Linked DNA regions of Drosophila melanogaster. The protein of the gene in region 1 interacts with the protein of each later gene in a pairwise test. Each region holds a gene or a part of one and is shown in the gene's direction. Other genes may lie near its edges.

What was found.
Region 2: the proteins of Rab27 (region 1) and Hsp67Ba interact in a two-hybrid assay, tested with the Drosophila melanogaster proteins (one large-scale study listed by BioGRID).

Annotation. Positions count from the first base shown.
Region 1 is NC_004354.4:1,473,323-1,478,805, reverse strand, and holds Rab27 (Rab27), read left to right. Parts: upstream 1-1,831; 5' UTR 1,832-2,493; coding exon 2,494-2,550; intron 2,551-3,913; exon of another isoform or gene 3,914-3,972; coding exon of another isoform or gene 3,973-4,011; coding exon 4,012-4,131; intron 4,132-4,295; coding exon 4,296-4,829; 3' UTR 4,830-4,922; downstream 4,923-5,483. Other genes in the region: mei-38 (meiotic 38), read right to left, coding at 577-1,430, 1,518-1,614; CG14780 (uncharacterized protein), read right to left, coding at 5,208-5,483.
Region 2 is NT_037436.4:9,377,059-9,381,568, reverse strand, and holds Hsp67Ba (heat shock gene 67Ba), read left to right. Parts: upstream 1-2,034; 5' UTR 2,035-2,129; coding exon 2,130-3,467; 3' UTR 3,468-3,767; downstream 3,768-4,510. Other genes in the region: Hsp26 (heat shock protein 26), read left to right, coding at 4,381-4,510.

The DNA of each region.
Region 1 (5,483 bases):
AGCAACAAAAACAAACTGAGCTCGCTCCGTCTCGCTCTGCCCACCGCCCGTGTTATTGTTTGTCGAGCGTCGGATTCCCGACCTGGGGCTGCTGCACTGGAGAACTGGGGCGTTCTTGGATAGTTGCCGTACGGCCCTTGAATTTGGGTCTCGTGTTTGGGCACAGGAGAGGTTTTGGGGCTGGCAGCAATACTTGGAGAAATACGTTATTTTTCGAGCGCAGTGTGGCCGCTCGCGGATCGCAGCTAAATGCCGGCGCGCTGGTGTTGGAAAACTCCCCGTGGCGGTGGGAACGCACTTTTTGAACTTAACGAACGGTGCTTACACTGAGCCCTCGAAGGGGGGTCATTTGCAAATGGTTTATTACATTGGATTAAACAATATATTCTGAAAAAATGTAGGAACAACTAAGCCTCTTCAAGTTAATGACTAAACACACGGTCAGTTGCTAAGAAACCACCTAAACCAGCAGCACACATCACATAAATCACATAAATGAAATTCCGGCCCTGAGCTCGAAAATTATCTGCTTGTGTTCGGAACCAATGCTTAAGGGCTACTAGATTTAGTCTTTACCTCCTTCTTCTTCTGCTCCAGGCTGACCTGCACGGCGGCGTCGAACTCGCGTCGGTCGCGCACGCGCTGCTCGCTGCGCAGGTGGAAGGGTCTGGAGCGGGTACCAGCCGGATGCAGTCGCGCCTGGTCGGCCGGATCGTCGTCGCGACGCCGCTCCACGTTCGACTGGCTGTGCTTGAGCGTCTCGGGCGTGCGCGGGACGGTGATTTTGTGGATGACTGCCAGCTCGTTCATGCGCTTGTGCATGGCCTTAAAGTTGGGCATGGGTCGGCTGTGGAACTGGCGCGCCTTGCTTTCCTCCTCGGAGCGCTTGCGCATCGCCTGCTGCCGCTTGCTCTCGTACACGTCCTTGAACTGGTATGCCTTGGGGGCGGCGGATGTGGCAGAGGCGCCGGCTCCCTCGTGCTCGCGGTGGCGTGGGGGTGACCACTCCAGGCGGAGCTTGGCCCCGACGCCGGGAGGACGTTCCTGGTGGACCAAGTGCTGATCGGCCTCCGTCATGTGCTTCTCATCATCGTCCCCATCCTTGCCCCAGTTGAGCGGAACAATTTGTTTGATGTCGTCCTGCGGCTCTGGGCCGTTGTCAAGTGGGGACACTTGAGCCAGCTCCTGGAGCTCTGTTTTCAACTTGAGTTCTGGCACATCGTGGGGCTCAACTTTGGGCTTGATAGTGAGTGCATCCTTGGACGCCTCTGTCGTGTCTTTGGGGGACTCCTTCTTGAGATCCCCAGCACTAATCAGCTTGCCATCGAAGTCACCATCGCGCTGTTCCCGGCCGATCTTCTGCGGAGTGGTGCACAGCAGGAGGGGGTTAACATTGCTGAGGCTCCTGTTGTTCTCCTTGTTGGCCCGTGCTGCTGGGAAATGCGGGAAATGGTCAGCAATGGTCGGCCAAAAATGGCGCGTTTTCTCAGCTTGGACGCGGTGGCCTGGATACGCACCGAAAAAGTTCTGGGAGTGATCCAACTGGTAGTCACCCACGTTGATGGCGTCCCAGTCGAAGTCCGACTGGCCAAAAGTTGAGCTTGCGTTGTCCATGGCCAGTAAATAGAGAATAAAACCTCAACCGAGAAGTTTCCGCACCGATTCAAAAAAAAAAAACAAAGCAAATCCCGAGCCCGCAAGAAACTCGATAAGTGCAATTAAATGGCGGCGCTTTACAGCACTGGTTTATCTCGCGATACTTATCGATAGCTCTGCGCGCGCAAACTTCAATTTACTGAAAAATGTGGCTCAGTGTTATTTAGTAACACGAAATTTGATTGCTGAACACTAGGATTATAGAAACAGTGGACTATTCGAGCACGGGATACACTCCTGACTTTGAAGCCTTCGTCGGAGAGCAAAGCTTAGGCGCCGTCCCGCGGAAGCTCCGTCCAAAGCCGTTCCATTCTTAAAGTTGCCCGAGGGATTATGTCTCGAGAGTGCTTCGAAGTACTCACGAAATAACCACGTTCCCGTGGGAAAGGACACCTGTGCGGCGCACCTGTCGCGCGCGGAAGCGCTTGAAAGCTGGCGCAAGCTTTGGCTGAAAGCTGAGCCTCGGAAAAGGGACTGCCTGTTGGCGGCCAACGAGCCCTGTAGTCTGTGCTGGGCAGCGCATGGCAACAGGTCGGGCAGCGCACCGCCCAGAGGATCCACTGCGTTGCATCCGCAGCATCCGCACAGCCTCGGAGTTTTCGAAGTCCTCGTGGGTCGCTTGTTTTCGTTTAGCAAACCTCTGCAAGGTGGTTGAAGGTCCCTTCCCCCGCGCGGACGAATTGCGCGCGCTAAAAATAACGGTTGCCCGCCCAGTCAGTCTGGTCCAGTCAGCTGAATCGCAGATTCCTTCCAGATCCTTGGAGTGACGAGTGGCGTGCGGCGTGCCGAAAGAAGCCGCCTTGGGCGCCAAAGTCGACGGCGGGCGTCGGAGCAGAAATGCGTGCCGCGCCTCCTGAGCCTGAGCCTCTGCAATTAGCCGGATCCGGTGAACAGGTGAGCTGAGGAACTAAGGGGCTAAGGTGGCGGTGGCTATGTTTAATCGCTCGGCAGAAACGCGGCAGCTGCAGCTAATTACGGCACTGCGGTCTAGCTTTAATTGGAAGCCGTCCTTGTCCTAGTGCAGCTGGACGCGCTGAAAGGGCGGAAGGAAGCTGGGAGGACGTCCTTGAGTGGAGGCCTTGTGGTTTGCTCCTAATTGCCATCACTCGCCTTAGCCCACCCCCCTCATGTTGAACACCACCCCCGGAAACGGGAGGCTATTTCCGTCGCTAGGCCCACCTGAGCCCCGCAAGATCTTGCGAATCAATAAAGGTTTAAAATTAACCGTCAGCCGAGTGGGATGGCTATGGCTGTGCGTGCATGCTAATTCGATTTGCCCACCAACCACTGTCCACCCGCCTACCATCTCCCCCTGGGAGACTTGGCGAGCAGCAGACGACTGTAACCTATGCGTGCTCCCTCTGCGAGGCAGCGGATTCGGAAATAGGGGCCGGAGACGTGAGACAGCTGCCGGAAACGGGAGGAAATTAGATTACAAGACATCAGCAGGCAGGATTCCATTGAGTGCTGCCGGATTCGGGATGCGCAGAAGGCGCACTGGGAGCGCGGTCCCAGTTATTACTTCGATCTCTGTTGTTACTTTCCAGTGACGGAGGCCCCGTTGTCTAGCAACCACTTCAACCGCAGGCAGCGACCGTAATCCGCTTAGCGCGGGAAGGAAGCCAGGGTGCAGAGATGCTGCACGTTCTCTCCTCCTGCCCACCGCATCGCGTCATTTTGAGCGTTGGCCGTTGGTCTAATTAGCGGGGCAGGGGCGGGGTTAGCCTTCCTATGCTCCAGCCACTTTCCACTTTTCTACTGCCCCTTGTCATCTCTCTCTGTTCTGCCGAGCGACATACCGTTGGGCGCCGCTTCCAGCGGGAATGCTCGAAATCTCGATCGGCTTGTCCATTGATGCGGAAGCGGGCGAAAGGGATTCCCCGCCATCGCGACCCATCGAACCCACTCCACACGCCCGAATTTCGCCCGGAACGGGACAGAAAATCAATAAATCGGGATTTAATGAGTTTCAAATATTTGCCACGGTGCAGCGAGATGGTGTGGTGTGGGTAAGTGGGTCGCATTATGGGGGTGGCAGCTGGCAGTGGGTGGGAGCCACGCTCACGAAGATGCCTCCCGATTAGAGTGCCCCGCCTCCGCTCCTGTCAGCCTAAGCCCGGTCTTACACAAAAGAGGAGGAAGAGTGGCGAGTGGATAGACAGCAGGGGCAGGAGGCAGGAAGCTGGTAGCTGGGGGACAACCATTGCTTGGGAGAGCTGTACAGGAACGGGCAGCTCATTCGTTTCCCTGCTTCCAGGCGGACGGGATGCGTCTGCGGTCCTGAACGTTCCAAACGCGCTGCTACGAACGGCCATTATGACGGGCGCCAACATCGACTACGATTACCTGCTCAAGTTCCTCGTCCTGGGCGACTCCGGCGTGGGAAAGACCTGTCTCCTCTACCAGTACACGGATGGCCGGTTCCACACCCAGTTCATCTCCACTGTGGGCATCGACTTCCGCGAAAAGCGGCTGGTAAGTTCAAGCGGCTAATCATCCTGTGATCCTTTTCATGGGACTCACCTAACATAGCCAACACAATCCTAGTGAAGTCGGTTTGAGAGTCACGAGGATTTTGCAACCACATCACTATCATTTCCGAACCCTAGTGACCCATCACTTTTTTTTGCATCCTTCAGCTGTACAACTCCCGCGGACGCCGCCACCGCATCCACCTGCAGATCTGGGACACCGCCGGACAGGAGCGCTTCCGTTCACTAACCACGGCGTTTTACCGCGACGCCATGGGTTTCCTGCTCATCTTCGACCTGACCAGCGAGAAGAGCTTCCTGGAGACGGCCAACTGGCTGTCGCAGCTGCGGACGCACGCCTACTCCGAGGACCCCGACGTGGTCCTCTGCGGCAACAAGTGCGACCTGCTGCAGCTGCGCGTGGTGAGTCGCGACCAGGTGGCGGCCCTCTGCCGACGCTACCGGCTGCCGTACATCGAGACGAGCGCCTGCACCGGCGCCAACGTCAAGGAGGCCGTGGAGCTGCTGGTTGGCCGGGTCATGGAGCGGATCGAGAACGCGGCCTGCAACCGCGAGTTCTCCCTGCTACTGACCCAGTCGCGATGCCTGCCGAACATCGCCTACGGTCAGCCGGAGGACCTGGTGCGCCTCCACGATCGGCGAGAGGAGCCCTGCTCGCGGCGCAACTGCCGCAACTGTTAGGTGCCATGCCCGTGGCCAAGTCACCCTGCTTTGTTCCTTGACTCGTGTTTCCGAATCTAAGTGTGTTTCGCTGTAAATAAATGTTGATTGTTGAGTGGAAAGCGTTTCATTGCACGACAAGATACGAAGAGGTCGTTGTAATTATCCGACTCTTTCGAAACCGTCCAGATTTGTAGATTGTAGATAACTGATAGCTGCGGAATGGCATTCGAGGTACCAAAAGTGATTCGAAAGATAGATACATACATAGGTTTGCATACGGTAGCTCTTAGATTCAGAGCTGTCGCTACATTGTACGTGAATGTGTATTATGAATATTTTGTTTAGAACATAGTTACTACATAGACTAAAGCACTGGCATGGATGCCGAAATGGTGGCTATAGCCACGACCCCGAGCACCGCATCAGCAGGGGCAGGAGCAGGAGTAGGAACAGTCCGGTAGCCAGCCTGGAATGGGGAGCCCCGCTGCGTCCCTCTATCCACTGGCGGTAGTACTCCACGTCCACGTAGACTCCCGGCAGTCCCGGCTCTGCGCATCCGTAGCCCCAGGAGACCACACCCACCAGACGGCCCTCGTGCACCAACGGTCCGCCGGAGTCGCCTTGACAAGAATCGGTGCCGCCCTGCAGGCGTCCTGCGCACATCATCCCGGG
Region 2 (4,510 bases), on another chromosome or scaffold:
GTACGTATGTAAGCACGTATGTATGTACATACATAGCAGATAGGAAGGTTGGAGTATATTCCACGAAGGATGGAGTAAATTCGCGAAACTTCGAGACTGCAGAACAGTTCTTCTTTTTATGGCCTGGCATTTAAGCTATTAACTTTAATTAATATCCAAGAATGGGGCTCTGTAGTGGGGAAATCTAATTAAAATACATAAGTGGTTAATGCCGGGTAGGTAATAACCCATGGGATGTAAGCGTATTATTACTCCAATCAGTAAGAAAATGTAAAAATGATACGATTTGGAACATATGTACATTCATACAATAAAGGATTCGAAGGATGTAAAAATTATTTGAATAAAATGTAATGCAACTATTTTGAATTTCAAAGGTCGATAGATGAAAACATAAACCAAAAAACATTAAAAACATTTAATAAATTCTAATAGTCAATATTTGGTTTATTGAAAACGAGGCTGTAACCTTTTATTATATTTGACCAATTTCTTAAGACAAATACATATGTATGTATGTAAGATTTAGCTGCACATTTGCTTGGTACAACTTGATAAATATTCAGCTTATATACACATTGTTTAGAATTCAGAATTACTTCGTAATAACCAAATCAAATGACAATTTGTTTACAATTTGTTGTTACAGTAGCGATTGAATAACCATATAATACATGGGCATTGCTATAGAACTCAATCTCTGGTTGTTATATAATTCGAGTTTTTATTTATGGCCCCATTTTCTTGTCACCACTCCTCCTCCACTGAAGTAGAGTACTCTTGGTGCCCAGGGCTTGGACAATCCAACGCCAACGCAGTGGAAGTTGTCTATTCAAAAAGGTGGCCACATAATGTGCGAGCATGCTCGTCCGGCGGATTTCTTCCCCTTGGTTAGGTAAATGGGAGCAAGTACCCAGTGTGTATGTACATGGGGAATGTATCGTATGTACAAGGGGGCATCTCGTACGCAGCAATCTCTGAAGGTTTTTGCTCTTTTCCGACTGCAGCTGGCAGATACACCATATCAATACAAACATACTATATAATATAATATATGGCCATACAGAATTGTATCCCGCAGCTGAGTTCGGGGCCCCAGTAAATTTTTAGCAAAGTCTCCACTGTCTGGCCCCCGTCTGGATGTTGTTGGTGTTGTTGTTGTTTTTTGCATTTTGGAGCTTTTCAACCGGTTGCCATCGCTTGCACTTGGCTATGTAACCACATACGAATCCAGCAATATCATCATCATCTGTGTGGCAGGGTATGTATGTATGTATGTAGATACAAATGTATATGGAGATACCATATGTATGGGTTGCCCCAGACGCTGTCACTGCGCATGTTTACGCGACGCCGGCTTGCCAATCCTCCAGCTCTGGCAACAGCGGATTTGTAGCTTCCAGGCGGCCCTGCCAGCCAGCCAGCCAGCCAGCTGTTGTTGTAGTTGTTTATCGCCGGCGACTCGAATCCGCATCGGCAACCGGCACGAGACTCAGACTCTCAGCTGTTCGCTCAATGCCGGCAGTGGGAATTCAGCTGCAACACGACCACTTTACATATACCCCGTCTATATGGATATTTGTATATATGAGTACATATATGTATATCGCCGGTACAAGGAAGATGGCATCTCTTGGGGGGGATATTCGTGCATATATGCTTCGATTTCAAGCCGGTTTGCCTCTTTTACGTATCTTTTTTATTTGGTTTTGCAACGTTGCAGTTTGGTTTGTCTGGTTTCTTGCCGACTACGAGTACGAGTACTTTCTTTGTTCTCTGGCTATCTGCGGTAGAGGAAAAGTATCTCTTATTTCGGTGTATATAGCAGAAAATGGCATAGTACATGGCTTGACTGACTGTTTTAATGGGTAGCCCTTCCCCTTGGTGAGTTCTCTGGAGGAGTTGCATAGTTTTTCGCCTGGGAGCTGGCATGGAAGCCGACTGGAAGTGACCAGGTTTTCCATTCAGCGCTGCACAGCCGCTTAAAAGCGTCGACATTCAGCCATAAGGGCTCAAACGCAGTCCAGTTGGAGGCCAGAACGGATCGCCGCCGGTTCCCAGACGACACCAATCCCCGCAAGACCTAAAAAATAAAAGATATATCTTAGCCAGATAGGAAGAAAGTGAAAATGTCGCTGATACCGTTCATACTAGATTTGGCCGAGGAGCTGCACGATTTCAATCGCAGCCTGGCAATGGATATAGATGATTCGGCCGGATTCGGGTTGTATCCACTGGAGGCCACCTCACAGTTGCCACAGCTGAGTCGTGGGTTGGGGCGTGGGAATGCAATGATGTGGGTGCCCATCAAGGGTCAGTCGGCGGCATCGCAGCATCGCCATCATCCGTACAATCGTGTGGCCGGAGCCAAGACTGCTTGCTGCAATAAGTCGCTGGTGGAGCTGGAAAAGGAATTGGGCGATAAGGGCACGTCCGGGGCAAGCGGCAGCACCAGTGGCCAACCGGCGGCCAGCAAATCCGCCTACTCCGTGGTGAATAGGAACGGCTTCCAGGTGAGCATGAATGTGAAGCAGTTCGCCGCCAACGAACTGACCGTCAAGACCATCGATAACTGCATCGTGGTCGAGGGTCAGCACGACGAGAAGGAGGATGGCCACGGGGTGATCTCGCGCCACTTCATCCGCAAGTACATCCTGCCCAAGGGCTATGATCCCAACGAGGTGCACTCGACCCTCTCCTCGGACGGCATTCTGACGGTGAAGGCGCCGCCACCACTTCCAGTCGTCAAAGGCAGCCTGGAACGACAGGAGCGCATCGTAGACATCCAGCAGATATCGCAGCAGCAGAAGGATAAGGATGCGCAGCCGCCAAAGCCGTCAGAGGTAGAGCAGCAGGCGGCAGCTAGTGCCACCACTTCCACTTTAAATCCGACTGCACCCACACCCACTCCTTCGCTCTCGCTCACTCTCGCCGAGAGCAACGGCAACGGTCAGGAAGAGACAGAGATGGAAATGCCGGCTGTTTCGCCCCCCATTTCCAATGAGGCTGCTGCTGCCGCTGCTGTTGCAGTGGAAGCCCCTTCCACCGCAGGAACCACTTCCAGTGCCAACAATGGCGTTGCAGAACCAGAATCAGAGTCCATGGAAGTGGCGTTGGCCAAAAACGAAGAGACTGCCAATGTGGATGAACCCACACCCAATCCCGTTATAAGCATCGAAGAGGAGCAAAAGGCAGAGGATGCAAATGCCAACGAAGTGCCCGTTGCCTCGAATAACGGCAATGGAGCAGTCGCAGCAGCCGAGGATGTGGAAATGCCGCTGGCCAAGAAACCGGAAATCTCCACGGAAGACAGCAAAGAGGAGCAGGCGGAGAAGGTTGATAAAGTAGAGAAAGTGGAGGAGAAGGGCGGCGAGGAACTGGCAGCCGTAGATGCGGCCATTCTACTGGCCAAAAACCAAGGCGAAAATGGAGCCACTGCAGCCAAAACCGAGGAACTGGCCAAGTGAAGACTGAACTAAAAGAAAGAACATAAATAGTAATTAAGAACAAATAATAATCTGCACGGGTAGGCGTGCGTTTTATTCCATACGTGTTTCTTGTGTTTTCTTTTCTTGCATTTCACACAAAAAAAAAGAAGCGAGAAAGCTGACGGGAAAAGCACTCAATTACTAATAGTGGGAGATTGCTGGCGTTATATGTATGTATGATTTTCTAAAAAACATATGTGACAACAACTACAAGTATTCCAGTAAAACTTAAAGACAGAAACACGAAATAATGTACTTAATAAAGAGGAAAACCAGAATAAAAAAAACTGACGTTTTGTTTTGTTTGCCGTTAGCCGGCTGTTTCTTTTGCGCTCTTTCTAGAAAATTGCAACAACTCTCTAGAAACTTCGGCTCTCTCACTCATACAGGCGCACTAGCTCTGCTTTTGCGCGTACGACAACAACTACATTTAAAATTTCTCGAAACTCATGGCATTTATTGGGAAAGGTTAGTTAGTTTTATTTTTTGTTTTTAGAGCAGCATTCAATTTAGACTTTTATAAAAGAAATTTCTAATTTGATCCCTCGTTTATCAAACGATACAAAGCTATATTCATAATTTTTTCTCTCTGTGCACGTTCTCTCTCTTCTCTTCTCTCTCTCTACTCTTTCCTTTTTCTGTCACTTTCCGGACTCTTCTAGAAAAGCTCCAGCGGGTATAAAAGCAGCGTCGCTTGACGAACAGAGCACAGATCGAATTCAAAAATCGAGCAGTGAACAACTCAAAGCAACTTTGCGCAAAAGCAAAACTTCAAACGAGAAAAAAAAGGATTAAAAACCTTTGCTTACAAGTCAAACAAGTTCATTCAACTTAACCAAAGAAAAAATATTTCAATCTCGCAAAAGGAACATAACCTAAAGGAAACGTAAAAATGTCGCTATCTACTCTGCTTTCGCTTGTGGATGAACTCCAGGAGCCCCGCAGCCCCATCTACGAGCTTGGACTGGGATTGCATCCGCATTCCCGCTACGTGCTGCCCCTTGGCACTCAGCAGCGCCGTT